7 linked regions of the Sus scrofa genome follow. The protein of the gene in region 1 interacts with the protein of each later gene in a pairwise test. Links are inferred from orthologs where the notes say so. Each region holds a gene or a part of one and is shown in the gene's direction. Other genes may lie near its edges.

Region 1 (4,063 bases):
TTCAAAACCGCGGCTCCCCGTGCTCTCAGGAGGCAAACTCTCTAAGCAGAGTCGAGTCACCTGGGACTCGGTGTGACGTGCGAGGTCTCAGCGCCCAGCCCAGGTGGCCGGTCAACAGCCCGGGATGGAGGGCGGAGGGCCAGGCACTGAGCTGCTGCGGGCTCCCAGCCCAGAGACACGTGTCCTGTCCTGCCCCAACACCGGCCTTGGGCCCGGGGCCCGGCAGCTCCACTTTCTTCATCCCTAAAAAAGGTGTAACTGGACTTTATAACAGGATTGGCTTGAGAATTGGAACCAGATAGAGATTTCACGTCAGTCTCCTTGTGGCGCTAAAGCTCAGAACTGGCCCCTGCCTTAGAGAGCAGCGGCCTGTTTGGGGTCTCAAGAGGGGAGCTCCCACCGTGGGTACAGCCTGCGGGGCGAGTCGGGCTCTAGCCCAGGGCAGCAGGGGGCTTGTTGTAAAGGGTGCCTGGTGCGTGTGGCTCTGTGTGTGTGTGTGTGTGTGTGTGTGTGTGTGTGTCTGCAAGTGCTTAGTGAGGAGGATGAGGAGAACAAAACATTCGCCGTCTGCTCCTGGACAGCCTCCCGAGAATCCTGTGACAGTGTTTCTTAGGAAAAGGGAATTGCTAAATGGCCTGCATCTTTCTCCTGCCTTACAGGGTTTTTACTGATTCAGGCCTGGCCTGAAAACAGGACTGGCCTCCATGCTTTTGAGAACCTGGAAATCATACGTGGCAGGACGAAGCAACAGTAAGTAGATCTCAGCTGGTAGGTTCTTTCTTACTTTATTTTGAAATAAAGCTCACAGCGAGTTTCCCCAGCTCCCTGGAGGGTGACACCCTGCGTCCCCTTGGCACAAATCAGCAGTAACCCAAATGCAGACTTTCTAGCATCTCACCAGTTTTTCCATGAGTGCCTGTGTGTTCTGTGTCAGCCCGTGTCCCCCACTGCATGGGGCTGTCATGCAGTCAGTGACAGGTCCTCTGCAGTCAGTGACAGGTCCGCTGTCGGCCTTGTCCCTCAAGTACTGGTGAGGCGTTTCTGGAATGGCCGATGTTTTCTTCTGATTCAGTTGAGGTTTCACACTTTTGCCAAGAACAGCCTGGGGTGACATGTCCTTCCTTATCAGCGCGTCATTTTAGGTGGAACTGAGAAGCTTTTTAGCAACTGAGAGTTTCTTTCAGGATTTCCACTTTTCTAGCTCCACCTGTGAAATACGTGCGCGTGCGCGCACACACACGTGCGCGCGCACATGCATCTTTAACGTAATAAAGGTAGTGATGGGTTTGTGGTGAGGAGAAGTTTGCACTCTTGTTCAAATTTGCCTTGGAAATAGCCTGGTTCCGAGAACAGCTTTCCATCATTGACTCCTAACTGGACAGCAGAACATTATGCAACACTCAGAAAATTGGAAGATGATACACGTAAAATAAGCACTGCTTTCCAAAAACTGTCTCAGCTTTGCGTCTCTGATGCTAAACAAGCAGCTCATGGCGTTTCCCAGAGAGGCGCCTTTGCTCCGAGTTCTCAGAAATACTTCACTGGCCAAAGTTCATGCAGAGACGAGCGCTTTGGTCGACTTTCTTGGGTGACTGGTGTGCAGCTCTTGGTGGCTGGCGGGCTTCCTAAAAATGCAACCCCTTCCTGTGGTTGCTCCCTGCAGACCCCAGGCTCCTCCACGCGGCGTCCCTGCCCCTCACAGGCCCTGTTCCTGGGGCTCCCGCCTCCGCGTTCCCGCCCCAGCGGGAGCTCTTGGCTCTCGTGTGCCTTCCTGCCTCCTGCGTCCAGGGGCTTCCCTCCCTTTAGTCTGAGTGACGTGTCCGGGAACTCAGGGGCCCGTGCTGATCACTGTCAGGACCCTGGCACGGGGCTGGGGATGAGGAGAACCTGCCAGCTCCTGGTCCTGGGCCCCTCTCCCGGGCTCCCTCATCAGACCTGCCCCGCCTCTGTGGAGCCCTCGTCACCACCCCTGGTGCTGGGTTGCAGGTATTTGCCCAGGTGAATGCGCCATCACTAGACAGAGGGGTTTTGAGAGGAGCAGACGTGCACTTAACCCAGAGGCAGACAGGATGGGCCACATGTTGCCTCAGTATCTTTGCCTTATAAATGGATGGGTGGATGTGTGAGCGGATGAATCTATCATCATTTGAAGTGTATTTGGATTTTTTTTTTTTTTTTTTTTGCTTTTTAGGGCCGTACCCGCGGCTTATGGAGGTTCCTGGGCTAGGGGTCTTGGAGCTGTAGCCATCGGCCTACACCACAGCCACAGCAACATAGGATCTGAGCCACATCTGTGACCTACACCACAGCTCACGGCAACTCCAGATCCTTAACCCACTGAGTAAGGCCAAGGATCGAACTCACATCCTCATGGATACCAGTAGGATTCGCTTCCACTGCGCCATGTCGGGAACTCCTGGATGTTTTAGCAATTAGAACACATTCTCAATTCACAGGCAAAATCAAAAAGCAGTAAATAAAATAATGACATTAAGACACTTCTTCAGCCCTCAGACTACCACTGGGATTAGAGACACGAAATGAACTAGGAACTAGCTTTTCCCCGGAGAAGCTTAAAAAACACTCGGAATTCTCCGAAGTTGCCTTGTACCTGCCTGCGGCATGACGTGCTTCCTGGAGGGCGTCTGTAGTAAACCCGCAGTGGTGCAGAGAACGGCGCCTTGGTGACGCTCTGTTGTGCTAATTGTCCTCCGTGTTTGCTCTCCTCTCTCCACCTCAGTGGTCAGTTTTCCCTCGCGGTTGTTGGCCTGGACATAGCGTCCTTGGGGCTGCGCTCCCTCAAGGAGATCAGCGACGGAGACGTGATCGTCTCAGGAAACCGAAACCTGTGCTATGCAAATACAATCAGCTGGAAAAAACTATTTGGGACCGCAAGTCAGAAAACCAAAATTATAAACAACAGGAGCGAAAAAGAGTGCAGTGAGTAACCACTCTGGTTGACTGTGGACAGGGTTCCAGTGGGTCATTCGTCTTGATTTAGAATATCGAGGGGCCATTCTCAAACATTTAAATGACTTTTACATCCCCAGAGAAGCAAGTGAAAAGAAATCTGGACATTCTTAATTGTGAAGTTCATCAGAATTCTTTCCAGATCCTTCTCATTCCATAGGATGAACCTGCCTCAAAGTCCGGGCTAGTGTTATTGGTAATGCGCAGAACTAAATTTAGTGTTGGTCGTGTTGTATTTTAGCTGTGCGTTCCCTCTGCTCATTTTGTCCATGGTGACTGTAGCTAGCCACACACACACACACACACACACACACACACACACGCACTCACAGGCGGAGTTGGCTCCTGAGGCTGGGCCTGCACCATTGCCCTCTGCACGAGACCTTGGCCATTGGCGAAAGCGGCCCCTTGCTTATGTCCTGCTCCAGCCCTTCCTCGCCAGTGTACTGAGGTCTCGGGGCCTTGGCTTCCTCCCCGTGCAATGGAGAGAACAGTGACTCCCACCCCCAGTGCTCTGGCTCTGCGCCCCTGTGCACCCTCCCGGGGCTCGTCAGCTCTGATGAGCCTCTGGGAACCTTCAGCCCCTGGCAGAGCCCCCCACCCCACCCCGAAGCCCTATTAGGTCACTGCTGCTTTGGGGGCCCAGCAGTGTGTGTGCCCCGCACCCACAGGCCCCTGTGGCCGATGCTCCTGGCTGACTTGTGGGGCTGCCCCTGTCTTTGCAGAAGCCATGGGCCACATCTGTAACCCGCTGTGCTCATCAGAGGGCTGCTGGGGCCCTGAACCCAGAGACTGCATGTCCTGTCGAAACTTTAGCCGCGGCAAGGAATGTGTGGAGAAGTGCAACGTTCTGGAGGGGTAAGAGGCTTCGTCTGATCCCTTTGTTTTGATGAAAAATGAGTATAAGGATTTCTCCTGTGCACAGTGGGTTAAGGATCCAGTGTTGTTGCTCTGGTGCTGGTTGAATCACTGGCCTGGGACTTTCCACATGCTGAGGGCACGGCCAAAGAAAAAAAAAAAAGACAAGATTTTTTTTTTTTTTTTTTTGGTCTTTTTGCCTTTTTCTAGTGCCGTTCCTGGGGCATATGGAGGT
Region 2 (4,063 bases), on another chromosome or scaffold:
TTCCAAGATTCTCTGATCTCATGAACAGTTTGGGGCACTTTAGGCAGATTGAGGAATCATCTGGTGCATATCCCAGAGATTCCACTTTCAGAGAAAGTACAGTTGATTATTAGTCTTGTTGGAGTGTGTGCTCGTGCTGGATGCAGGGTTGTTACCTAGCCTGCTGACGTGGGTTTAAATCTCTAGTGGGTCTGGGAGTCAATGCACAGCGAGCCCTTGGGTGTCCCGGGGTGATACTGATGTTGGACTCTGATTTGGTCAGTTATTTATGCTTGTTCAGGGCAGAGGCGTTTGATACCTTGGATGAGGGGACAGTGGTAGCTGGGAGATGAGGATGGCCTGAGAGAACTGCACGTGTCTCTTGGCACTGACAGATCAGACCATTTTGATTTCAGTGGATCAACTAAAGTTAAACTTAAACAAATAGGAGCAGCTGGGAGGCTTTGAAAGGAGTGAGATGTGCACATTCTCCAAAAAAAAAAAAAGAGAGAGAAGCCTGTGCTCCCTGAGGAAGGAAGGATGAGGCGTGGAACTTGGAATCGCCCCCGTCTGAGGAAGGAAGCAGTTGTTTCTCTCTGTTTTGTTTTGCACATTGGGTTAAGGAATTCCAGAAGCGCAGGTTGTGGACCATGACTTCCATTTTTTTTCTCTCTGGTGCCGCTTGCCAGAGGAAGGGAGGGCGGGCGGGCGGCTCTAAATACCACTTGGCCTTCATGGAAATGTATCAGATGTTCCAGGAGTGAGTCTCGCGCCTCGTGCTTGCTGGCTGGCGCCCTCCCGCCCCCTCCCTCTCTCACTTTCTCTCTCTCGCTTTGAACTCACTCTCTCTCCCCTCACTTGTGGAGGATGCAGTTAGCACCTCTTCTCGCCTTTTATAGCAAGGTCTAGTCCTTAACGTTAACAGAAATCTAACAGCGAGAGCGCTGCCAGTTAGCGTTTATCAGGCCAGTGTTTGGAATTTCATAAATCTCTGACTTTGGGCACAAATTGGACATTAAGAACAATATGAAACTGTTTTCTTCCTTCCTCTGTCCTCTTCTCTCCCCCTGCCTCTCCCCAGCCTGTCCAGCCTCTCTTTTCCCTCTGCCTCTGAATTCCTCTGCTCGGCCAGCTGTACGCTCGCTGCGTTGGAACTTTGTTGATTTTTGCCACGTTTAATTTTGTGTTTCTCTGTCTCTCCGTCCACTCCAAGACCGCAGGCGGAGCAGCGGCAGCCGGAGCCAGGACTCTGCGGAGGGCCAGGACGGGCAGGTCCCTGAGCAGTTCTCAGGTCTCCTCCACGGCTCCTCCCCCGTGTGCGAGGTGGGGCAGGACCCTTTCCAGCTGCTCTCAGCCCCTGGCCAGAGCCATTCAGAAGGGTCCCCCGCACAGGGCGCCTGCCCCGGGGCCAGCATGCAGCTGGAGGAGACGGGCGTGCCTGCTGCCGGGGCCTCCCCGGCCCGTGTGCTGGACCAGAGCAAGAGAGCGGGCTACCCCACGAGTCTGCCCACCACCCACCGCCAGACACATCCCGAAACTCTGCCTCGCACGGCATCAACGCGCCCTGGCGGTGCCGAGGAAGAAGGAGACCGGAGCGGGGCCAGAAGCCGAGCCCCTCCCACCAGCAGACCCAAAGCGGAGCTCAAACTCAGCCGCAGCTTGTCCAAGTCTGACTCTGATCTGCTGACCTGCTCACCCACAGAGGACGCGACGATGGGGAGCCGGAGCGAGTCCTTATCCAACTGCAGCATCGGCAAGAAGAGGCTGGAGAAGTCGCCTTCCTTTGCCTCGGAGTGGGATGAGGTAAGACCACGGGACAGGCCAAGCCCCCCGGGCTCTGCTGTGCGCCCACTCCTGGGACCAAGACGTGGGCCAGGGTCTCCTGGCTCCTCCTCATGGAGACCAGAGTGTTTCTGACGGCCGTGAGGGGGGCAGGCCCCAGGGATCCATGGCAGGGGCTCTTCCTGCCTGGCTGGCGGAAGACAGGTCCACTCTTGGTTAATCTGTAGGGTGGGGGCCCCAGCAGAGCAGGGCCCAGGGAGGGGCACTTCCTAGGAATGACATGCTGCTTGGAAATATTTGGATCCCGTCAGCCCACTGTGGGAGCCGGGCTCATGCTGAAGATGCTTCGGGAAAGCTGGAACACCTCCTGAGGGCCTGCAGGAGGAAGAGGAGAGCTGGGCAGGCTAGGGGAGGGCCTTGGGAGAAGCTGCTGAAAGGGGATCAGAGGGAGAGTGTTGTTTCCCGCTGCTCCATGATTCCTCTTGCTGTGTTTCCCCGGAAGATTGCATGTTCTCCTGGCAGAAGCGTCCTGCCCATCCCACATCCAGCTTGGCAGGGCAGGGGCTGGGCAGTCAGGACAGAGAGATGAGTGAGGAGAAAACGTTTGGAGTCTGAGGTCCAGGTTCCTTTCATAACCATTGTTAGAGAATAGTTAGATATATGTGTCCGAATGTTTTTTCAGTGACCTGTGACACGAGCAGAAGAATGTGTCTCTCACAGATTGGTAAACACCCGAGGAATGTTACAGGACTACCCTTGCAGGCTTCTGGCCAGGAGAAGGCTGACTTTGAATTGGACTGTCTCCCTAGAACGTTTGCAAGAGATGAATTTAGCTCTCAGAGAGGAGGGGACCACCGCAGCTGACATATCCATTTGAACAATCCCAGGCTAAGTGCCCTGCCCTGCTCATTCAGGTCGCAGCTGCAAAGTTACATAAACCAAAGCTAATCCCATTCCCAGTGGGAATAGGATGGGGGCAATTCCTAAAGCACTCATCTCCAGATAAGATGAGGCTCAGGACTCTGTTTGGCCAGGGACAGGGACAGGAAAATCCTGTACAATAGAAGGTTTTCACTGTTTAGGTTGGCAAGCCTCTGCCAGATGGTAGGCTGCTTAAGGAAGGTTGCTTTGCACTCAGAGCTCCTGGGCCCTGGGAGAGCATGGTGGGTGTTTGTAGGAAGGTGAGCTCCACCTGTTTTTCAATACAGAGTTGTACTAACTTATAGCCAAGCGTAGGATAAGGCAGCTTAAGTGTAAGATAAACACAGTCCTCTCTCACATGGCAGAGGGGGTCAATAGAGAAGACTCTCAGCGGGGTTGGGTGGGCAGAGACCTGGGGTCTGAGAGGGTGGAGCGGGGTTTCGGGAAAGGTCACAGAGACATTGAATTAGAGAACCGGATTGAAGCTGCTGGGGTGCAGAAAGGGCATTGAGGTGAAGAGAACAGCATGAGCAAAGGCATGGAGCAGGGAGAGTTTAGATCATTGGTTTCTATAGAGTGTGGTGTTTAAGAGAATAAGAAATCCAGGCAGAAAGTGAGATTGGACCAGACAGTGAGAGGATCTTGAACTGAGGCTGAGAAGTGAGTCTTTGATTTGCGGTCAACACAGTGTGTCAGAATCCTTCAAATGGGCTGGATAGAGGATAGCCTTCCCAGTCTAATGAATGGCTCTGTCCTGAGCCCATCCTGTACCCCAGGAGGTCGGTAGGGCGTCATGCTGCATTGCCACGCTACGGTGTGGGCTCCACCATGTCCTCCTGCAAAGGAAACATGAAATCACCAAGGCACAGCCCTGCTTGGTCGAAGTTGGGCTGGTTCGTCAGTGGTCTCTTGGCATCTTAGTGAGAGGAGGTTCACAGGCCGAGACTTCCTTTGCGGGTAGAGATTGCCGGTGGCTACAGTGAACCCAGGACTGTTGGAGGTCTAGGTGTCCTGGGCCAGGCTGTCCTGTGGCTGACTGCCAGAAGCACTGTTTTAGTTTAAATTTGAAAAAGCTAAAGGCAATTGAGGTCTTACTGGAAAGAATTCAGAGGATCAATCTTTGCTTGCATAGTAAACATTAACGGAGCCCTTTAGGTGTAATCCTTCAGCATTGTTTCTGAGTCATATGTACTAGGTTTTGTGGATATCTCTCGCTGAAGAGTTTCCCCCACTGGTGGGCCCTAAACACAAGGTTGAGCAGATTTCCCTAAAGCAGGGTCTTAGTAGCCGCTCCCCGCCCCCACCCCCGCCCCTGCCCTGTGCCTGAAGGCTGCTTTGCCTCTGTCTTGTGCTTGACCATTTTTTCCCTTTGTCCTCCAAA
Region 3 (4,063 bases), on another chromosome or scaffold:
TCTTTACTGAAAAAGAGCCCTTATTGAATATTTGATTTGCATGGATTTTCTTTCATCCTGTGGGTTGTCTTGTCTTTTTCCTTTTTTTCTTTATTTTTGGGGCCACGCCTGTGGCACATGGAAGCTCCCAGACTAGGGGTTGAATTGGAGCTGTAGCTTCCAGCCTTCGCCACGGCAGCAATGGGTCTGAGTTGCATCTGTGACCTACATTGCAGCTCTCGGCAACGCTGGATCCTTTAACTGCTGTGCTACACAGGAACTCCCAAGTCTCTTTGTTTTCTTGATATTTTCAGCACAAAACTTAAAACGTTTTTAAATATCCAGTTTCTCTCCTTTTTCTTTTGTTTGAAGTATTTAGGTGTTATATCTAAGAAATTACTGTCAAATCTGGGGTCTTACAGATTTAATTCTGTTTCCTTTTTAGAGGTTTATTGCTTTGGCTGTTAGTTTATGTCAGTGATCCATTTTAAGTTAATGTTTGCGTATGGTGTGAGTTAAGGGCCCAGCTTCATTCCTTTGCTCATGGATGTCCAGTCGTCCCAGCACTATTTGTTGAAGAGACTGTCTTTTCTCCATGGTTGGCACTCTGTTCAGATATTTGACCGTATATGCATGGATTTACTTCTGGGCTCTCAGTCGTATTCCATTGATCTGTATGTCCATTCCTATGTATGTGCCACCCTTCTTGATTACTGCAGCTTTGCAGTAAGCTTTGAAAGAACTTTGTTTTTTCATGTTGTTTTGGGTGTTCTGGATTCCTTGCATTTCCATATGAATTTTAGGATCAGCTTGTCTGGTTCTGCAGGAAAAAAAGGCAGTTGAGATTTTGATAGGGATTGTGTGAATGCTGTAGATCAATGTGCAGAGTATTGTCATCTTAACAACATGAAGTCTTCTGACCCATGTCCATGGAGGTCCATCCATTTATTTTGGGCTTTGATATGTCAACAGTATTTTACAGTGTTCAGCCTACATATCCTACACTTCTTTGAATCTATACCTATGTATTACATCGTTTCTTATCCTATTGTAAGTGGGTATTTTATTTTCAGCTCGTTCATTGCAAGTATACAGACAAGGTTTTGTGTATGGACCCTGCATCCTGCAGCCTTGCTGTAGCTTAACACTCTAGTAGTTTCTTCACTGGTCATGTCATCTGCATGTAGAGGCGGGTTTACATCTTTCTATTCAGTACCTCCTGTGTCATTTTCTTGCCTGATTACTGGTTAGAACCTCCAGCTCAGTGTTGATGGAATAGCAGTGTTGGCAGCCACAGCCTTGTCTTGTTCCTTATCTTAGAGGAAAAATGCTCCATCTTCCTCGTTGAGTGTGATGTTAGCTGTGTATTTGTTATAGATGCTCCTTATCGGGTTGATATACCTAATTTACCGAGTGTTTTTATCATGAAAGATTCTTCGGTTTTGTTAAATGCTTTTTTGTGTCTAAGATAATCATGGTTTTTGTTCTTTGTTCTCTTAATTATTACATTGATTTTTATTTTTTTATTTTTATTTTTTTATGGTCGCATGCACAGCATAGGGAAGTTCCTGTGCCAGGAATGAAATCTGAGCTATACCTGCGGCAACCCTAGATCCTTAACCTGCTGCACTACTGCAGGAACTCCTGATTGATTTTTATATATTGAACTAACCTTGCACTTTGGGATAAATTCCACTTGGTTACGGTGCATAATCAGATTTATTATATGTTACTCAAGACCAACTGTAGGTAAGAGTTTATGGCTTTCTCAGGTCTTTTGAGCCTGAGTACAGGCTCTTTTAGATTCACAAGCCTTTGCTGGAACATTTCAAAGCCCTTGTGGATGTCTCATTTGCCAGATTTTCCTGGGAAGTTTTTGATCACCTTCCTGCTTGCCCTCTCATGGCCTCCTCAGGCAGCAGAGGTGTTAAACAATTAAAAAAAAATTTTTTTTGGCCACTTTCACGCATGCAGAGATTCCCAGGCTAGGGATTGAACCTGCGGTGCAGCTGCAACCAGAGCCACAACAGTGACAAGCCGATCCCCAACTTGCTAAGCCACAGGGAATTCCCTCAAATTTTTAGTTTTTGTTGAAGTATAGTTGACTTAGAATATTATGTTTGTTTCAGATGTACAACATAGTGATTCAGTATTTTTATAAATTACACCCCATTTAAAGTTATTACAAAATAACGGCTTTTTTCCTGTGCTGTACAACATATCCTTGCTGCTTATTTGTTTTCTCCATAGTAGTTGTTTCTCTGAGTTGTTAAACGATTGGCATTGGTTATTTTTGACAAATGCCAGGGTGGAGGTGTGTGGTCCTCAGTGAGTGAGTTCTGAAGTCAGACAAGGAGAAACCTTGTCTCTGGGGTTTTCCAGGGAACTGTCAGACTGGCTGAGTGACGGCAGGTACTTGGGAGGGAGGTATTGCAGGCGCTCCGGCCCCACCTTCTCAGGTTCCCACCATGGAGGACTCAGTACAGTTTGGAGTGTGCACTGGGGAGAGATTGCAGGCTGAATTTGGGTTCAAAGCTCTTTCCTAGATCCTAGAGGAGGTTTGCTCAGACTTAGGGTGGTAGTATTGGAAATGGAAAAGAGCCGTCTGACCTTACCTCATGGAGAAGGAATTGTTACATATGTTTACAGTGTAGTTATGCCATTTATTTCTGAGGACCAAAGTGCCCTTGGTGTTCACAGAAAAGCACCACACAAAAAAGGACACAGGGAGTTCCCGTCGTGGCGCAGTGGTTAACTAATCCGACTAGGAACCATGAGGTTGTGGGTTCGGTCCCTGCCCTTGCTCAGTGGGTTAACGATCCGGCGTTGCCGTGAGCTGTGGTGTAGGTTGCAGACGCGGCTCGGATCCCGAGTTGCTGTGGCTCTGGCGTAGGCCGGAGGCTACAGCTCCGATTGGACCCCTAGCCTGGGAACCTCCATATGCTGCGGGAGCGGCCCAAAGAAATAGCAAAAAGACAAAAAATAAAATAAAATAAAATATGTCTAGTAAATTGGTGCCAAAGTACTTTGAACTTGGTAGTTAATTTTACTCTTTCCGCCCCTTTTCAGGTGGATGCACGGAGCATACCAGTGTTAGCAAAATGGCAAAATTCATATAGCATTAAAGTTGTACTTCAGGAGCTAAGACGTCTAATGATGTCCAAAGAAAATATGAAGCTGCCACAGCCACCAGAAGGACAAACATACAACAATTAATTTTAGTGGATCTGAAACTTGTCTTAAATCAACAACCTTCTACTCATGTTAATGTCTTGATCAAATATCACGATGCAAAATACCCACACATGAAGATAATTCCAGCTGGTGAACATGACCTGGACATTTGTAAGACTATATTTAATATATGTACACCCAGTATGTTTTCGGGTAGCAGGAGGAATATGCAGCACATTTTTCTTTCTTGCTAAGGCACTGTCATTTAAGCCTAACCTGGAGTACTCAAAACAGAGCTCAGGTTTACACGTGAAAGCATGGCAAGAAGTGTCAGAGGGCTGTGGAAGCAGGTGTGTTTCTGAAAAGGAGAAAATCTCAAGAGGGAAGAACTGAAGGGGCGTGCTGTGTCCATCTTGCTTAGTGAAAGAGCTTCGGTTGAAATTGTCTAAAGTAGCAGGTACAATGAATATTGTCACAAAATGTGTTAATTTTTGAAGCGGTATGGGTGCTGACTACTAGTAGTATCAAAAATATGTTCAGGATTGTTTTGATACCTGTATTTATAATAAAAAATGTCGTGGGGGAAGTGGCTGAACTTCTGTTACAAGCTGTTCCTGTGTGTTCCATGTAACAGACGTGGTAAATATTTGTTTACAGTCTTTGTTGGACAAACCATGCATTTATGTTTAAGTGAAATCAACAAAAAGGAAATAGGTGTATGGATATGTGATTTTGAGATTAAAGTTAGTCTTAAATTGTAAATAAAATGTGGAACGTGTCCTCAGAAACTGTGCCATTTCTATTATATTGATGAAGTATGTATATGGTAATTTGCTGAGGTAGCAAAAGTTGGAAATATTGTAGCTTTTCATTTATACACACTGTTTATTATTTATCCTATGTTGTATAC
Region 4 (3,607 bases), on another chromosome or scaffold:
AGGCTGCCTTCCTTGCAGGGGTGGGCTTGGCTTTAGATGGAGGAGGCCCAGCACTGGGTGTGTGTTTGCGGGAGGTGGGGGCGCAGTAATAACAGGACCAGTGAAGAGACATCAATTAACTTTCCCCCCAAAAGCTGTACTACCATGGGGAGCCCCTCAATGTCAACGTCCACGTCACCAACAACTCCACCAAGACTGTCAAGAAGATCAAAGTCTCTGGTAGGAGGTGGGGGTTGGAAAATTGCCTGAAGGGAGGGAGTTTCAGCCACAGGACATACCCCAGGGCTGGAGACCCCGGGGGGCTCAAGGAATGCAGGCTGTCCCAGGATGGGGGGGTGGGGGGCACATGTCCTCAGGCAGGGATGCTAAAGGGCCAGGACCTGGGGTCCTTGCGGGGGGGGGGGGCGCGGGCTGGAGTTGGGTGGGCTGCTGTCTACACTCCATGCAGAGCTGCTTGGCCCCGCCCCACAGTGAGACAGTACGCGGACATCTGCCTCTTCAGCACGGCCCAGTACAAGTGCCCCGTGGCTCAGCTCGAACAAGAGTGAGTAGCAGAAGAGCCCTGGGTCCCCCTGGTCAGGGGGGAAGAGGGGCCCCGGAGTGTGAGGAAGGCGGGAGTCCTTCCCCGCTGTCTCCGCTTCCAAGCACATTCCCTCCCGTTGGGGGCTCTGAGCCGCTCATGTTCTGGAGCGGGTTGAGCCCGTGACCCAAGGCCAAAGGGAGAAGGGGCCGGTGATGGGGCAGAAGCCGCTTGGGGGTGGGAGCCACCCCCTCCGCCCGCCTGGCCCTTCCCAGAGTTTCCTTCTCGTGTCCCCCTGCCCCAGTGACCAGGTGTCGCCCAGTTCCACGTTCTGTAAGGTGTACACCATAACCCCCCTGCTCAGCAACAACCGAGAGAAGCGCGGTCTCGCCCTGGACGGGAAGCTCAAGCATGAGGACACCAACCTGGCGTCCAGCACCATGTGAGGGGACGAGGGGGTGGGGGTGGGGGGTCCTACAGCACAGGAGACACTCATTCCGTGCCAGCCGTGTGCCAGGCTCTGTCCCCGGGGCCACGGCCCCATCAGGGAGCAGAACAGACCCAAAAGATCTCTTACGTTCTCAGGGAGGAGGCCAGGCAAACCAGATAAATGGCAAAATATACAGCATGTTTAGTGCCAGCTGTTGAGAAAAAGGCAGGCAGAGAAGGGAGGTATCAAGGGGGGGGTGACTTTACAGAGGGTGGCCAGAAAAGGCAAAATCCAGAGGCGACTTGGAGTAAGGACACAAAGGCAGCAGGGCTGCAGAGGTGTCAGGCGAGAGGGCCCCTGTCTTTGGAGCAGGTACAGCTGCACAGAGTGGGGGCGGATTTCACCCCCGGGCCCTGCGCCCTGTGCCTGACCACACACGGCAGGCCAGCGTGGGAGCAGGAGGTGCGGTCAGAGGGCTGAGGGAAAGCAGGTCAGTGCAGGGCTGATGGGTCCCAAGGACGTGGGCTGTGACCGAGAGAGCGAGACGAAGATGGATGGGGTACGTTACACGGCAACAGCCCGTGCTGCTGGAGCCGGGGATTCCTGCTCAGAATCCCCGTGGAGGCCCCCAGGGTGGGCTAGGGTGCGAGGAGGCCGTGGGCTCTGGTCCAACTCCCCCCCCCGCCTCCCCCCCGCAGCGTGAAGGAGGGTGCCAACAAGGAGGTGCTGGGAATCCTCGTGTCCTACAGGGTCAAGGTGAAGCTGGTGGTGTCTCGAGGCGGGTGAGTGCTGCGGGTGGGAGCCTGGGGGTCGGGGGCTCTGCACGGGCCTCTCTTCATGCCGCCTCTCCCCCCCCTCAGAGATGTCTCCGTGGAGCTGCCTTTTGTTCTCATGCACCCCAAGCCCCAGGAGCACATCACCCTCCCCAGACCCCAGTCAGGTGAGCCTGCCACCCGCCCCAGCCCCCAGAGAGCGGGCCCGAAGCAGGGCCAGTGGAGACAAGGCGGGTCCTTTCAGCACCCACCCACCCCCCCTCCTTCCTTCTCCCCTCAGCTGCGCCAGAAACAGACGTCCCGGTGGACACCAACCTCATTGAATTTGATACCAAGTAAGACACGCCTCGGCCCCAGCTCTGACGCCCCTTGGTCGGAGATGCCTTACATTCACATCTACCCATTTTTTCCTCTTGTGGGGGGGGTGGTCGAAGCATCCAAGCGAGATGAGGCAGCCTTGCGAGCTGCCCATGGCCACCTCTTCCGGGTCCCTTCCTGCCAACACCTCCAGTCCCATTGCTGCTCTAACGCCTCTGTCTCTGGGGGGGTGGGGGTGGAGAAGAGGGTCAGGAGCCCTCGCCTCACCCCCTCCCTCCACACCAAGCTATGCCACGGACGACGACATCGTGTTCGAGGACTTTGCCCGGCTCCGGCTGAAGGGGATGAAGGACGAGGACGGCGAAGACCAGTTCTGCTAGGCGGCGGCGGCAGCGGGGGGCGGCTGGCAGAAGGGAGTGGATGGTGCTGGGAGAGGGAGGGGCAGGACCGAGACCCCGCTGGCACCGGGGGCTCCAGCCTCTCTTCCCCTGCCCTCCCCTCTCCCTGGGCGGCTGCCGCGACCAGCCCGCCTCCCCCTCCCCACCAGAGACGCACTGGACCCATCTCTTGGGGAACATGGGCATTAATCTTTCCACGACAGCTGGGCTTCCCCAACCCCGCAGCGGGTGGCACGCTGTGTTCATACCTAAGTTTTGTGGAGGGGCCACTGGAGAGGCGTGACAGCAGGGAAAGGGGGAGGACGAGCTCCCACATTCAACCTCACCCCGACACCCCTGCCTGTCACCACCTCTGCCTCCCATTCCTTCAGGATGAGACCCTCTGGGGGGCAAGGCCACTTTGTTTCTGAGGCTAAAGAAGAAAATAAACCTTTTAATAGGCACGCGCGTGTGTGTGTTTTCTACGGCACGTTTAAGGAGGACTTCGTGTGCTCGTCCACGACTGTCCATTGTGCCCCATCCCTTCTCTGTCCCCACATGTCACCAGGCCCCCAGGCTGTCAGTACACGTTTCCTGAATGGCTGAGCTGTACCTGAGTTCCACGGTAAACATGGAAACTTGATGTGGTCAGTCCAAACTCAAGGGCACAATGTGGTAAGCCACAAAGTAAACTCATTCATTCACAGAGGGAGTAATAGCTCACGTTCCTGCAGATGGGATGCTCTTGGGACTGGGCAGGGCAGGCCCTTCCCCGTCGCGGCTGACACACATGACTGCGTGGTGACTTGTGACCGAGTGTTTGTTTCCACTGCTCCTTCTGGTCGATCAAGCGGTCCATTCCTGGGGCTTGGTGGAACCGCAGCTGCGGGCCTCAGCGGCAGAAGCCACCTGGCAGACACCTCCCAGGAGCCTGGTCCTTAGACTGCACACAGAAGCCAAAGCTCTGGGCAGCCGAAGGCAGTGGTGCTGCTGTGGACAAGTCCAAGACACTACGTCCTACGCTGCTCCTCTAGTTCATCAGGGACTCCCAGAGGCTTGGCTGAAGCCCCAGACTGGGCTGGCAGGAGTCGAGCGCTACTCCGCTGGCACGCGCACCCCCACCACCGGCTCCACTCCTGCAGGGCACCCTCTCCCCTTTTCCTCCTAAGGCTCATTCATTCCCTCCATG
Region 5 (4,583 bases), on another chromosome or scaffold:
AGACCTGCCCCCGGGGCCACAGCCATGGGCGAGAGGAGGCTTCCTTCTCAGAGACACTGGAGCCCATGAGGGCAAACAGCAGGGCACCCGGGGAGCAGGCACAGCACAGCGAAATGTGCGCCGAGGTCTGAGTGTGGTTTGCACCCCACTCGGTGTGCTCCCAGTGCAAAGGGTGCCATTCGACCTGGAAATGCAGTGAATGAGCTACGACACCGCGGACCCAAAGAAGTGCTTTGTCTCCCTAAGTTCTCAGTCTCTCTCAGGTCTCCGTGTTCCTCCGAACAGGACTTGGGGGAGCAGATGGCACCTTCTTTTATTTTTTTCTTTTCTTTTTTTTTTTTCCTCGTCTTTTTGCCATTTCTAGGGCCACTCCCGTGGCATATGGAGTTTCCCAGGCTAGGGGTCTCATTGGAGCTGTAGCCACTGGCCTACACCAGAGCCACAGCCACGCGGGATCTGAGCCACGTCTGCTACCCACACCACAGCTCACGGCAATGCCGGATCCTTAACCCACTGAGCAAGGCCAGGGATCGAACCTGCCACCTCATGGTTCCTAGTTGGATTTGTTAACCACTGAGCCACGAGGGGAACTCCGGCACCTTCCTTTAGAGCTGGGCTCGCTCTGCCCCCCACCAGGACCCCTCTGCCAGGGGGTGACTCCCTCTCCCTCCAGAGCCCCAGGTTTCTGGGCTGTTCTGCCCAGGACAGAGGTGGAGGTTCTATCCTGACCCAGGAACAGCTCTGCAGGGAGCGGGCGGCTCTGACCTCTGAGATGCCCGCTGCTGCAGGCACAGGAAGGGCTGGGAGCTGCTGAGGGCGGCACCCACTTTTCAGAGCTGCTGTTCTGGGGGAGGGGTGGGGCAGCCTCCTTTGGAGAGCAGGGGAGATTGGGGAAGCCCAGAAGGAAGAGCTGCTGGAGGAGGGCGTTACACTCACCGAGGGCCACTGCTGAGGGCGTAGAAGGCTTAGAAGATCTGCCCCGTCTCCCCCCAAAACACACCCCTTCCCTGTGGATTACAGCTCCTTCACAGATGCGGAGCCTGTGGGCGGGGGTGGGGGGTGATTTGGAATCTAGGCCAGGGCAACAGCTAGTACACGGAAGGGGCGGGATCCGAACTCAGGCCTCTCTTACCCTGGTGCTCAGATGTGTCCTTGCCACCCTGCCGCCAGAACAAGTGAGACCCCACCACCGTCCCCACCGCCATCCACGCCCGCCCCTTCTCTTGTGGCGCAGGTTTTATCAGAAGTCTTAGCTCTCAGACTTGTGTCTCCACCCTCTCGCATCCGGCCGCCAGGAAACCCTGAGAAGTTCCGGGCACGTGCGAGACGCGGCTTCCTCCGTGGCGGGGGCACAGGGGGTCCCCCGGGCGCAGCCGGGTCGCCCCGGGCCTGGGGACCCCGCTGGGGGGTTGGGGGGTTGCGCCAAGACCTTAGCGCCGATGCGGTGACATCAGCCCCGGTGTGGTGACATCGGCGCTGGTGTGGTGCAGTGTGCAAAGCCCACTGGTTGGCGTGGCCGGGACACGCCCCCCGGGAGCGGAACAAAACGGCGCGCGGGCCGGACGAGCCCAGCCCCGCTTCCAGAGCGCCGCCCGCTGTCGCTGCCGCTACCGAAAGCCCAGCCACCACCGCCGCCAGGTGAGTGCGCGGGGTCTCGCCGAGCCCCTCTGGGCCACCCCGCTGGGCTCCGCTGCAACCTCCGCCCCTACCCCCGAGCGCCCTGGCTCCTCTGCGCGCCCCGGCTCCGCGCGCGCTGGACGCCCCCGGCCTTCTTGTCCCGCCACCTCTCGGGAGGCTGCAGGGGAGGGTAGACGCGACACCGGGCGGCCGGGGCCCGCGCAGGCCGAGGAGTGGGGCCAAGTGGCCGCGCGGGTTTCTTTCCAGGAGGCGCGGGGCTCCTCCCCGCTCCGGGTTCCCCGGACACAAAGGGCCCCCACGTGCCCCTGTCCCGGGACGGCCCGGCGCCCCCCACCGCCTGCGGGTCCCGAGGCGGAACAATGGGCCATTCTGCGCGCACTGACGCTTGTTGTCCGGCGGGGGTGGGAGCCTCTTGCAGCCCCCGCCCTTCTGCCCTGGGGGAACGCGCCCGCGGGCAGGGTGGGGACCGTCGGGCCTCGGGGGCCCGCCCGTGGCAGCTGCGCCCTGCCCTGCGCAGCGCAGGTGCTGGTTTCACTCTTTTCAAAAGACTAGATGGAGTTGCCCCCCACCTCCCACTGCGCGCGCCCCATTCACTCCCGCCCCCGCCGGCTCGTCTAAAGGAGTGGGGACCATCGCAGAGCCTGAAGGGACCCACAGTGCTTGGTGGCCTCAGTCCCTGAAGTGGGGAACACACTTAGAGAAAGTTGCAGTCCATTGCCCCACCAGCAACCACGAGGCAGGCGTTTTATCTGCTCTCACAGGCCCCAGAGTGTTGTGCAAATTCTGCAAACAGTTGTGATCTAATCAAATCTGGGTCTAGGCAGGAGGCTGGGTGGCTCAGCTCCCCGGAGGCGGGGGCACCCCTGCCCCTGGGTGTGAGTGGATGGTTAGGCCCACCCAGCTGAGAGGGCGTCACCTGGGCTCCTACCCCCAGAGGTCCGTACACCCGGCTCTGGTGAACACGGCAACCCACTCGGTGAGAGGTTGTTGGAAGGGGAACTGATCCTGATCCTGAACCCGTGGCCTTAAACAGGTCGCCTCCCTCTCACGCTCAGTTCCTGTAGGGTTGGCACTGGGAGAGCCTTGCACAGACGTGGAACCCAGCGGGGACAGTGGCTCCCTTCTCCTTGGCCTCCCCCCAGCCCCCCACCCCATGCCTCCCCACTGCTCCCAGAAGCTCAGCAGGCTGGAGGTGCTGTCCTCTCAGGGCAGGCTGGAATTTCTTCCCTGAGGGATTTGGGGACCAGGTGCTGAGTGTTCACTGCTGCGCTCACCTCTGGCCTCCAGATGTTCATGGTGGGCTGAAGTGCTTGCGGGGGGTGGGGGGGGCGGGCCGGCAGGGTCACTTCTTGCGAGAGAGACTATCCTTGTGGCTGCTCTTGGTCTCCCAGGGAGTGACCTTGTGCCTCAGGGAGGAAATCCGGGGGGAGGGGGGACAGGCAGGCAGAGAAGGAAGTTTATCCCACAGAGGGTGTGTTGTGGGCGGGCAGCGCTGCCCGTAGAGGGTCCTGGGAGACACAAGGGAGAAACTGAAGGGTGGGCCCACCTCCTCTGCTTCTGGGTGGGAGCCAGCAGTGCCCCCCCGGGCTGGGCCCTGGCTGCAGGAGCACCTGCCTTCCAGCCTGGGTGTTTTCTCATGGCAAACATCTGCCCTTCAGGAGCTTGGGAGTCCTCCCTGGCCCCAGGGGCTGTGTGCTGGCACTTGGTGGGTGATCCGTACAAATTTGGTGAATGGACAGGATGGGGCTGGGCTCTGGGCTGAACTGCCATGCATGCCAGTGAATCTGGCAAGGGTTACTCGCTGGTTGCTCCCTGTGAGTGGGATTGAGGACCAGGTGGGGGAAAAGTGACACCCTTTCTATTTACCGTGGGTCTCCTGGTGGGAAGGCAAACTGGGGAGGCTTTCTTGAGAGGCTGCCAAAGTTGAAATATTTTTGTAAGCCGGCCTCTTATGAAAAGTTGACTTAAAGAAGACAGAGGGATCTTGCATTAAATATTTTGAGGCGCTCGAGAGAAGAAAGGTTGCCCTTTGCCACTACTCAGACCTGTTGGCAGATAAGGAAGGAGACAGAAAACTGGGCAGCGTTAGAGCCGCCCTTCCCCGGGAGAACAGTGGCAGGTGTCCGCACCAGCTGTGCCCCAGGGTCTGGCCTGCTTCCTTCTCATGTTATCTGTACGGGGTGGGGATGGGTACTCCCCATTTCACAGACAAAGAAACTGAGGCTCAGAGGTTTCAGCTGCCATTCAGACCCAGGCAAACACCTTCCAAAAGCCACACTCAGTTACCATGTTATCACGCTCCTCTGCGTTTCCTATTTCAGAGGCAACTTGCTAAGGAAATATCCGCCACTTATGAAAGCGCTTTACTGAGGCTTATAAACTACTTAAGATGGAATTCCCGTTGTGGCGCAGCGGAAACGAATCCGACTAGGATCCATGAGGTTGTGGGTTCGATCCCTGGCCTTGCTCGGTGGGTTAAGGACCTGGTGTGGCTGTGAGCTGTGGTGTCGGTTGCAGATTCTGCTCAGATCTGGCGTGGCTGTGAGCTGTGGCTGCAGCTCTCATTTGACCCCTCGCCTGGGAACCTCCATATACTGCGGGTGCGGCCCTAAAAGGACAAAAGACAAAAATAAGTAAATAAATAAACTACTTAAGGAAGATGTGGCTTTGCCAGTGGGAATGGGGATGGAGTCAGGTTAGACCCAACGACTTCTAGGTCTTTCTTCTGCTGCGTGGCCGGGGGTGGGGGTGGGGTCCCAGGGAAGAGGCTTTCACCACGTCTGACATGCGTCTGAATTTTGGTGTCAGGTTTGCAAGTAAAGGAAGTCTGAAAGAGAGCCCGCTTGAGGAAAAGACACACACACACACACACACACACACACACACACACACACACACACACACAGAGCAAGCTGTGGCTAGACGGGGGAGGTGCTGGAAGTCAG
Region 6 (4,499 bases), on another chromosome or scaffold:
CTTTCCACTGGGATTTCTTGGTGTTCGGCTCCACCCCAGCCCACACGGCCATAAACACTCATCCGTCTACAGCCCAGCCCCGGGGATCCAGCCCCGGGGATTCCAGAAATAACAGCAGGGCTCTCCACTAAAATGCTGAAACATAGTAAGGTATTTCTGCTTTAAGACACACACAAGCTCTTTCCAGCCCAGGCCTCTCCTGTCGGTCAAAGCACAAAGCAACCTTTGCGAGTCAGGACTGGGAGGGGCAGCTGGGAGGGAGTTTAGATTTCTGGAAAGTCCAAACCTTCTCCGGCCATCTGTTGGCCCTCAGATCTTCCATTCTAGAGTCTTCAAGTCTGTTCCAGGCTCTACTTGGAATCTGAAATTCTTTCTCAGCAGTGGCTTTCTTCACTTTCAATGATCCATTTTCCCTGTGTTGGGCTGGACCTGGAATCATGGTAGCCTGAGCCCAGACACTCAGGACAGCACCTTATTCAGGGAGTGCCAGGAGAGAAGGGAGTGGCTGGAGGGGAGTGCCCAGTTTGAAGCGAAAGGAAAGGGATAGCCATGACCCTGGATAAAAGGCATTTGGGCAGATCATTCTCATGCCAGAAGGGTGTTCACAAGGAGAAAGTCAGAAGTCAACATCTAGAGAGGGAAGTTGAGCTTTGCAAGCGTCCTTTCAAAATTAATACCAGAAAATAAAAAGCATGTACATGTAAGACCACAATGATGGGAAAAATATGAATTTAGACACATGACCTGGGAATGCTGAAAAGAAATATAAAAACAGTTGGGGGAAGAGTGTGTTTCTTCAGATTATCCTTAATCATGTCATTTCCCATTTTAAAGAAAATCGCAACATCTGGCATCGCCAGAGAGACCTGTCTGGACTTTTTTTTTGGTATTTTCCAAGGGAACTTCAGGGTTTAGGTACCCGTCTGAAAATGAATTTCTCGTGTAAGACCCTTGCTTAAGCCGCTTTCTCCAGAAACGAATTCCTCTTTAATGGGGATGGGATTATATCTAATTCGCAGTCCCCATCGCAACGTCATTAAAGGCTGGGTTCTGTGTACTGAGCTTCAAACGTTTGTCACGAATAGGAAGGTGGAGGAAAGAAAGGCATTTGTGCAACAAACAGCCGATGGTATCACCCTCCCAGGCCCGACCTCACCGGGGCTCAGGAGAGCCGCAGCTGCATTAATTAGCCCACAAGATGCAATGCCCCATCTGCAGCGGTGCTGCAGCAGGAGACCCGGCCACTGCAGGAGAGGTCGTGCGAACCGCCCGCTCCCGTGCCGCACCCACGAGGGCTGGGGGTGGCGGGGAGGATGAGGGGAGTTGGTAACAGCATCGCCATGGCAACAGTGACGTCCTTTTACCCTGGATCTAATTGGAGGAAACCCCGTGGCCGAAGCCGCAGCCTGCGAGCCAACCGAACTTGCCCAAGCCGACCCACCCTCCTAGCCTCCGCTTCCCCTCCCGCCCCGCCCCCTTCGCCCCCTTCCGCGCGCTCAGTGCTCATTGGCCAGAGGCGGAGCGGGAGGCGGGACCCTAGGGGACCTCTCGGCGCGCCATTGGGCGGCGGGAGCGAGGGCAGCCGCGCGGCGGCCCGCCTCTCGGCTCCGAGGTAGGCTGAGACGGGAGGGTCCTCGGCTAAAGCCAAAAGCCGATCAAAGTGGTGGGACTCGCGCCGCGGCCGCGGAGACGTGAAGGTGAGCGCCAGGGTCGCCCCCGGCCTTCCTCGGGCCTGGCCGGGCCTGAGAGCCGGGCGGGAGGCCAGCCCCGGGGGGAGCGGCCGCTGGCCTCGACGCCGCTCTCCTCAGGGGCGGCTCCGGCGGGAAGGTGCGGGCCAACGGCCGCTTCCATCTTGGGCCGGGCGGGCGCGGGAGCGGCCCTTCCTCCTCCTCCTCCTTCTCCCGCCCGGGGCCGCCTGGGCGGGCGCCCCCCGGGCCTCCCGGGCGCCCCGTGGGGAGCGTGGGCGGGGGAGGGAAATTCAACTGGGCCGCGCGTGCGGGGACAGACAAAAGGCGCCGCGGGCGGGCGGCCGGGCGGCGGGCGCATTGTCTGACGGCGCCGCCCCCGCCCTCCTGCCCCCGCCCTCCCGCAGGCCCGCCGCACGCCTGCTCGCTGTCCGGGTCGGTGCTCGCCCTCGCTGCCCTGTCCCCGGCCCCATGGAGAAGACGGAGCTGATCCAGAAGGCGAAGCTGGCCGAGCAGGCCGAGCGCTACGACGACATGGCCACCTGCATGAAGGCCGTGACGGAGCAGGGCGCCGAGCTGTCCAACGAGGAGCGCAACCTGCTCTCGGTGGCCTACAAGAACGTGGTCGGGGGCCGCAGGTCCGCCTGGAGGGTCATCTCGAGCATCGAGCAGAAGACCGACACCTCCGACAAGAAGTTGCAGCTGATTAAGGACTATCGGGAGAAAGTGGAGTCCGAGCTGCGGTCCATCTGCACCACGGTCCTGGTGAGTGTGCGACCCTCCGGGGGCGGGAGGCCGGGCGGCGGGAGCCGGGGAGCCGTGCGTCCCGGGGCGCCGGGGCCCCTTTGTGTAAGGCCCTCCCTTGAGAATTTCACGGGGACCGAGTCGGGCCGGGCCTTTCCCGATTGTCTGCCGACGTCGAGGGTTTGAGGAGGTTATAGCCTTGGCCTGCTCGCTGTGTTATTTCAGTTCTTGAGATCCAGAAGCTGCTTCTCCCCGCCCCAGTGGTAAGTAGGTTTTTCTTAGATGCTGGGTTGCTTCCCCACCATTGTAACTTTGAAACACGCGAGTGGGTTTGTACAAGACTGAGCATCGTGTTCAAGCTTACAGAGGAAACCTGGGAACCCTTTAAATGTAGTTAATCAATTCATAGGCGTCAGGCTTCCTTTGAAAGAAGGTGCCGGGCTCCTGTTCGATACGTGTGTGAGCAAGGCTTGGTTTTCTTTCCAAACCTAGTCGTGGAACTTTACGAAAATCTGAATGGGTGCTTCATTTTTCAAGCAAGAGTATCTGTTGAGCTTTTTCCTTGTTAAAAACGGGGAAAGGGGGGAATTTGGTAAAAGTGAAAAGAGCACCGCTAAATCGAATGTCCTGCCAAATTTCAGTACCTGACAGCGTTTCCTTGCTATGACATAGCTACGCTGAAACACGAATGTGTTGAAGTGAATTCGTATCTGGTGTGGAGGAGGCAAGGAGGACTTTGCAGGTTTTGAACTGTCCAGTCTTAGCGTGGGTGGCTGTTGGGTGGAGTAGGGTGCCTGCTGTGATTCACTCTTATTAGTGAGAGAGAACGTTTTTAGCTTTGTCATTGTATGGGTCTTTCGATCGGTAAGATAAGTTTTTAAAATCTCAATGCCAGCATTATCTTCTGGAGTGTTTTTAAGTGTTTTGATACTGCAAAGAGTCATTTCTACTAATAAAATAATGAAACATCTGATGCATTTGCCTCTTTTCTTATGGGCCACGTTTACAGGGGGCCTTGGCGATTTTTGATGTATTCGTTCCATGTAGTATTTTAGGTGGCCTTTGAAAGACAGTCATGCTAGATTGGCGATATTTCAAGATGGAATAGAGGGGGACATTCCTCTTGTCCCAATCTTCTCTTCCTTGCCCCATCGAATTGGTGGGGCAGGAGGTTTGTTTTTTGTTGTTTTTTTTTTTCCTTTCACCTATTTTTTCAACACCAATAGCAGATGATCTGAACAAAATCGTGGCTGGTGGAGAAAGCTGGTAAAGGGGCAAAGAAAGCAATGCAGAGAGTGTACAGAGTGGAGGAAACTTCTGTTGAGGTTATTGGCTTTATGTGGGTGAGATTTTAGGGTCATCTATGTCTTAGCTGCCATTCCCTGCCTGCTGTAAAGGAGGCACTCAGAGAAACTTTCTGCCCTGAATTGCTTATATTCAAAAAAATTTTGCTGTCTTGAAAGTGGTGGTGGGCTTCAGTGCGTATGGTAATGGCTCTTGAGAGCATCTTCTCTGTTGTCAAGGAAGATGCATCAGGATGCCTGTGTCAAGGACAAGCTTTTTTAGGTCCGTGTTACTTTGGGGCACTCCCACAGCATATTTCCATCTTTTTCTATTCTGTCTTTACTTTGCACTTTGTTACTTACCCTGCAGCAATCCAGGAGTACCACAGAATTTTTGCTATTCTCTAGCAAGGTAGCCGGGAATATTTGTTTTATTTTTGTGGCTCTTACAAATTTTCGTTTTTTTGATGGCATGAGTGGAGGAGAGTTTGCTTACTCGAAAAGCGACTTGAGAGACCAAGTATATTCAGGAGACTTTTCTCGGACATCATTTCAGCGGAAGAGAACCGCTGCAATTAGGACAGGTTTATATGAAATATTCATATGTGTACACACACACGCTCACTAAGTGAAATAAAAGACTAGATTAATTAGACACCAAAATATAAGTAAAATATTTTTATTGGTAAAATGGCTGAAGAAACTAAGTTATGACTTAATGGCCAAACCTACCAAAAATATCCTGAGAAAGCCTGTCTTTAAGTTGGCACCTCCATTTGAGAGGTTA
Region 7 (4,714 bases), about 130 Mb from region 1:
CACCTTTTTTTTTTTTTTTTTCCCTGCTTTTCAGGCTGCACCTATGGCATATGGAAGTTCCCAGGCTAGGGGCAGAATCAGAGCTACAGCTGCTGGCCTACACCACCGCCACAGCAATGCCAGATCTGAGCCTCATCTGTGACCTACACCGCAGCTTGTGGCAACGCTGGATTCTTTAACCCACTGAGAGGCCAGGGATCGAACCTGTGTCCTCATGGATACTAGTCGGGTTTGTTACTGCTAAGCCACAATGGGAGCTCCCAGCTCACCTCTTAATGGAGGCACTGTGCCAGGCCTGGGTCCTACCTATATCTTTATCCCCAGTGTCTCATACAGGGTCTGGTGCATTGAAGAGGCTCAAGTGATTGTTTACTGAACTAAATGGAATCGTGCCCACAATGCTATCTATGGAGCTCTTCATCCTGCCTGCAAAGAGGGGCGAAGTAAGGGTCAGGGAAGGTTTCACAGGGCAAGTGACATTAGAACTGGGTTTTGAAACACAATAAATTATAAAAGATGAACAAAAAGCTACAGGGGCATCTGACTGGATTGCTTCACAGAAGTGAAGAAATTGCACCTAGTACTTTAGTAATAATGATGACCACATGAGTGTTGGCTTCATGAAAACAGGTATTTTGCCTGTTACTCAGCGATCTGTCCCTCATGACCAGAACAGTGACCACTCCAGAGTATGTACTCCATTTGTTCAGTCATTTGGACACATATGAGGAATTCATGGGGACAAAACAAACAACTAATAATGCAGTGTACTAAATCATAGTGTATTAAGACCTGTTATATGATAACTCTAGGTCATTAGAGTAGGAGTTCCATGAAAGTAGGGGACAGGATCCCCTAGGATTCCTCGGTACAGTTTCCAGTGATGTTGGTGCTCAACAAATACTTGTGTAAACAAAAGCAATAAAAATCTATAATATTATTGTGTCCTAAAGCTGTAAAAGCAGAGTGGCAAAGGTGAGTTAGGCTGGGATCTGGGATCCTTTACTGGAGTGCCTGCACCTGGACAGACATCGCCTTGAGCAACAAAATACAAAGAAACAAGAAGGAACAAAACATAATTGCATGCAAGCACAGTTGAGGCAAATTATGAACAATAAAACACAAAAAGGCCATAAGCCAACTGCCACTTCTGAGGTGCCAAGAGTGAGGAGGGTACTGGGCATAATCCCAGCACCACCAAGGCAGTAGGCAGACCACCTGAGCCATCCCTTCCTCCCCTTCTTTCATCTCATTTAAGGGACCAGCTTGCCTCCTTCCCTCAGGGAGCACCTGTTTCTTATTTTTGCTCCATAGCATTAAAGCAGGAGTCCCAATAAAGCCTCACCTGAATTTCTCATCTGGCCTCTTACCATTTTCTATTGATTAGAGGGTTCAAGGACCCCAGTCAATGGCAAAGGGAGTATAACACGGGTTTGATGTAAAAAACAAAAACAAAACAAAACAAAAAAACCCGGCTTCTAAACTAGGTTCTGATACATGCTCTCTGGCCTTAAGTTTCTTAGTATCCTCCTCTGACTGGTCTGTTACGGGACTAAATGAGAGCATGGCTACAAATGCAGATAGAAGACAATGAATGTGAGTTCCCTAAAATACGAAAACAATACTAACAGCTAAGATGACAGTCACCAAAGAACCGGTAAGGGCAGTAACAGGGGTAGAAAAGGATTAAAGACAAGCTCCTTCGCTTCTTTGGGAAACTCTACATATGAAACTAAGTTTCCAGCCGCACCTGCCTCCGGCGTCGCTTCCGCCTCCGAGGTTTCCGCGGGGGCGACGTCCCGGTCAGGCGGGCAGCTCGGCGAGCCTCCCGGGGATCTCGGAGTAGCTCCACGGTGGCGCTTACCACTACCTTCTCCAACCCTTAGTAACCGCGACGCGTTGGCTGGCCGAGTAGGCGGCAACCGATGGCTGGAGCTTCTGATTACTACAAGTCCCAGCAAGCCCCGCGGCCACTTCCGCTGGCAACCTCGCGTCAGCCAGCCCTGAACTACGGGTCCCGATGTACTCCGCGCGGCACGCCACGCCGCCAGTTCCAGCCAATCAGCTTCGGACAAGTAGGAGGGGAGGGAGACGCACAGGCAGGAAAGATGGCGGCGGCGGCTGCTCAGGGTGGGAGATCCGGTGGTGGCGGAGGCAGTAGTGGGGCTGGCGGCGGTCCCAGCTGCGGGACGGGCAGTAGCCGTAGCGGCTTGTTGGACAAGGTGAGGAGTCGGATTTTGGGGACAGCCGAGGCCTGGGGACTCCTGGGAGGCGGCGAGCCCACCATCCTCTCCCCCCTTTTCTTATGCGGCTTCTCTAGGGGAGTCCTCGTTTGGCCCACCTCGGGGACCCTACGGGCCCTTGTATTCAGCTCTCTACGCACCTCAGACTCGGGCTCTCTCCTCTTTAGGACTTCATTCCTTTTTGGTCCTTAACCTCGGCCACTGCTGCTACTTAGGATAATTTGATTATTTCCACATTTCCTGCGGCCCTCGCTTTTCCTCGGTGGTACTCGGGGCCACTGTTCAGTGTGCCCGTTTCACCGACAGGGAAAGCTGAATCTCGACTAAATGAAGGCAGCTGTTTGAAGTCAGTGGTGTCCAAACTCCCCGCCACACTTGAGTTTTGCTACTGATTCTAGAGTGCCTTTGGCCTTTTGCTTACTAAAGTTTCTAGGCGTTTTGTTGTGATACCCCGAATACTGAACTTGACCTACATGCTGACAGGAAGCTTTTAAGATTTATCTTTTTTCTCTCGCCTTTTTCACCCAACCCCCTACCCTTTCCCCTCTCTTCCTGCCACCAAGTGCCTTAGGTGAATCAGATTCTTGAGCTTGCTGCCTGTTCACTCTTCTCTCCCCCCGCCCCGCCCATCCAGTCTTTCTCTGTTTCTCTCTTTCTTGCTTTATTCTTTTTTAAATGCAGTCTTAGCAACAAGGGCTTAAAAAAAAAAAAATTAAAAAAAAAAAAAAAAAAGGAAACTTCTTCTCGGGGTAGGCCCTTCCTGCCCTTTGCATAGCATTTTGAAAGTAACAATTGTGTAGAGATCTGGGTCCTAGTACTGGGCCTGCGTCTAATTAGCTGTGTGACCTTGAAATATGCTTGTTTTCCCTGTGTCTTGTTTCCTCATTTGTAAAATGAGGGAGTTAGTCTTCATCCACCCTAAGGTTCCTTCCAATTCTCTCATTTTAGGGCCCTGGGCCAGTTTGATAAGGAATGTTACACAGGGGGTCTTTATTTTAATAGAGTGAAAAATCAGGATTGTTTACTTTAATTGAAAACAGCTTTCAGACTTCTCTGTGTGTAACACATGGTAGGCAAACATGAAGTGTGGACAGTCTTCAAAGGCAGTGATTACTGAAAAGTATACGGCATTGGTGCATTATTGGAAGAACCTGGATTTGGGGAATCATAAGATTTGGGCTTTGACATAGCTCTGCTAGTTTCAAACTGTATGAAGACTGACAAGTCAGTTAACCTCACTAAGCTTCCCTTTCTTCACCTGAAATATTAGGATTTGGGGGAGAATCAAATGAGATAATACAGGTGAAAGATGTCTATAACTTGTAGTATCTAACAGAGAAGCATGATGGCAGACAAAAGAAATCAGTACGCAATATAGCTGCATATAGGACATGGGGTACCCAAAATATTAAACAGAAGTGTTTGGGTAGTTCCTGCTGTGGCATGACAGAATCGGTGGCCTCTTGGGAGCACTGGACATAGGTTCAATCCCTGGCCAGGCACTGTGGGTTAAGGATCTGGTGTTGCTGCAACTGCGACTCAAATCTGATCCCTGGCCTGGGAACTCCATATGCCACAGGGCAGCGAAAAAAGAAAGGGAAAAAAAAAGTATTTGGTATTTACATCTGTTCCTTTTACAGAAGTTAGAGAGAGAATGATCCCTAAGATCTAACTGATGAGGGAGTGACTGCCCCCAAGGAAAGACCTCATGTTTGAGAGTGGAGCTGTGACCTTATTTTGAGAGAGACAGGGACATACTGCCTACCAGGGAGGATTGTCCTTGAGCAAAGGTCCATGGTGGGTGCCTCATGCTTGGTGTTTCTTAGGTAATGAGTTGACTGACTGTTCTCTAAGAGACCTGTAGTGGCAAGTAGATAAAACCAGATGGAGGAGGGGATGTATTGCTTGAAGTAGGCATAGGAAGTTGTTGAAGGGTTTTAAGCCATATGTATATGTGTGTGTGTGTATGTATACACATATATATACATATAATAGAGTGTCAATCGTTTTTCTAAAACCACTATATACATATAGTATATGAATAGTTTTTCTAAAACCATTATATAGATAGCATATATCTATAGATAGTGGTTTTAGAAAAATTATTCCAATAGTTTAGAGTGGGAGAAATTAGAAGTATTCTGGAGTTCCAGCCCCTGGCCTGGGAACCTCCATATGCCACAGCTGTGGCCGTAGAAAGCAAAAAAAAAAAAAAAAAAAAAAAAAAAAAAAGGTATATAGGGTATACTAGTATATAGGGTTTAGATAAAAAGAAAGACAAGTTTGAGTTCTAGTACAGCATGTTAAAAACTACGTGGCCTTGGATGGAGTTCCCATCATGGCTCAGAGGAAGCGAATCTGACTAGTATCCACGAGGACGCAGATTCAATTCCTGGCCTCACTCAGTGGGTTAAGGATTCGACGTTGCTGTGAGCTGTGGTGTAGGCCAGTGGCTACAGCTCTGATTCAGT

Evidence for each region.
Region 2: the proteins of EGFR (region 1) and ANKS1A interact in binary tests that used the Homo sapiens proteins (3 or more experiments, as listed by UniProt). The link is inferred for Sus scrofa from reciprocal best matches to the Homo sapiens genes EGFR and ANKS1A.
Region 3: the proteins of EGFR (region 1) and UBE2V2 interact in a protein complementation assay, tested with the Homo sapiens proteins (2 studies listed by BioGRID and IntAct). The link is inferred for Sus scrofa from reciprocal best matches to the Homo sapiens genes EGFR and UBE2V2.
Region 4: the proteins of EGFR (region 1) and ARRB2 interact in a protein complementation assay, tested with the Homo sapiens proteins (3 studies listed by BioGRID and IntAct, with this or other methods). The link is inferred for Sus scrofa from reciprocal best matches to the Homo sapiens genes EGFR and ARRB2.
Region 5: the proteins of EGFR (region 1) and CSRP1 interact in a protein complementation assay, tested with the Homo sapiens proteins (2 studies listed by BioGRID and IntAct). The link is inferred for Sus scrofa from reciprocal best matches to the Homo sapiens genes EGFR and CSRP1.
Region 6: the proteins of EGFR (region 1) and YWHAQ interact in binary tests that used the Homo sapiens proteins (3 or more experiments, as listed by UniProt). The link is inferred for Sus scrofa from reciprocal best matches to the Homo sapiens genes EGFR and YWHAQ.
Region 7: the proteins of EGFR (region 1) and SPCS2 interact in a protein complementation assay, tested with the Homo sapiens proteins (2 studies listed by BioGRID and IntAct). The link is inferred for Sus scrofa from reciprocal best matches to the Homo sapiens genes EGFR and SPCS2.

Annotation. Positions count from the first base shown.
Region 1 is NC_010451.4:139,434,512-139,438,574, forward strand, and holds part of EGFR (epidermal growth factor receptor precursor), read left to right. Parts: intron 1-659; coding exon 660-750; intron 751-2,740; coding exon 2,741-2,940; intron 2,941-3,695; coding exon 3,696-3,828; intron 3,829-4,063. UniProt on the Homo sapiens protein: Receptor tyrosine kinase binding ligands of the EGF family and activating several signaling cascades to convert extracellular cues into appropriate cellular responses.
Region 2 is NC_010449.5:30,927,570-30,931,632, forward strand, and holds part of ANKS1A (ankyrin repeat and SAM domain-containing protein 1A), read left to right. Parts: intron 1-1,192; coding exon 1,193-1,782; intron 1,783-4,063. UniProt on the Homo sapiens protein: Regulator of different signaling pathways. Regulates EPHA8 receptor tyrosine kinase signaling to control cell migration and neurite retraction.
Region 3 is NC_010446.5:79,621,221-79,625,283, reverse strand, and holds the end of UBE2V2 (ubiquitin-conjugating enzyme E2 variant 2), read left to right. Parts: intron 1-3,048; coding exon 3,049-3,195; 3' UTR 3,196-3,941; downstream 3,942-4,063. UniProt on the Homo sapiens protein: Has no ubiquitin ligase activity on its own. The UBE2V2/UBE2N heterodimer catalyzes the synthesis of non-canonical poly-ubiquitin chains that are linked through 'Lys-63'. This type of poly-ubiquitination does not lead to protein degradation by the proteasome.
Region 4 is NC_010454.4:52,161,051-52,164,657, reverse strand, and holds the end of ARRB2 (beta-arrestin-2), read left to right. Parts: intron 1-134; coding exon 135-544; intron 545-824; coding exon 825-962; intron 963-1,648; coding exon 1,649-1,732; intron 1,733-1,810; coding exon 1,811-1,890; intron 1,891-1,967; coding exon of another isoform or gene 1,968-2,003; coding exon 2,004-2,058; intron 2,059-2,327; coding exon 2,328-2,421; 3' UTR 2,422-2,882; downstream 2,883-3,607. UniProt on the Homo sapiens protein: Functions in regulating agonist-mediated G-protein coupled receptor (GPCR) signaling by mediating both receptor desensitization and resensitization processes.
Region 5 is NC_010452.4:23,860,760-23,865,342, reverse strand, and holds the start of CSRP1 (cysteine and glycine-rich protein 1), read left to right. Parts: upstream 1-1,322; 5' UTR 1,323-1,638; intron 1,639-4,583. UniProt on the Homo sapiens protein: Could play a role in neuronal development.
Region 6 is NC_010445.4:126,737,253-126,741,751, forward strand, and holds the start of YWHAQ (14-3-3 protein theta), read left to right. Parts: upstream 1-1,542; 5' UTR 1,543-1,697; intron 1,698-2,092; 5' UTR 2,093-2,156; coding exon 2,157-2,450; intron 2,451-4,499. UniProt on the Homo sapiens protein: Adapter protein implicated in the regulation of a large spectrum of both general and specialized signaling pathways. Binds to a large number of partners, usually by recognition of a phosphoserine or phosphothreonine motif.
Region 7 is NC_010451.4:9,278,741-9,283,454, forward strand, and holds the start of SPCS2 (signal peptidase complex subunit 2), read left to right. Parts: upstream 1-1,776; 5' UTR 1,777-1,925; coding exon 1,926-2,222; intron 2,223-4,714. UniProt on the Homo sapiens protein: Component of the signal peptidase complex (SPC) which catalyzes the cleavage of N-terminal signal sequences from nascent proteins as they are translocated into the lumen of the endoplasmic reticulum.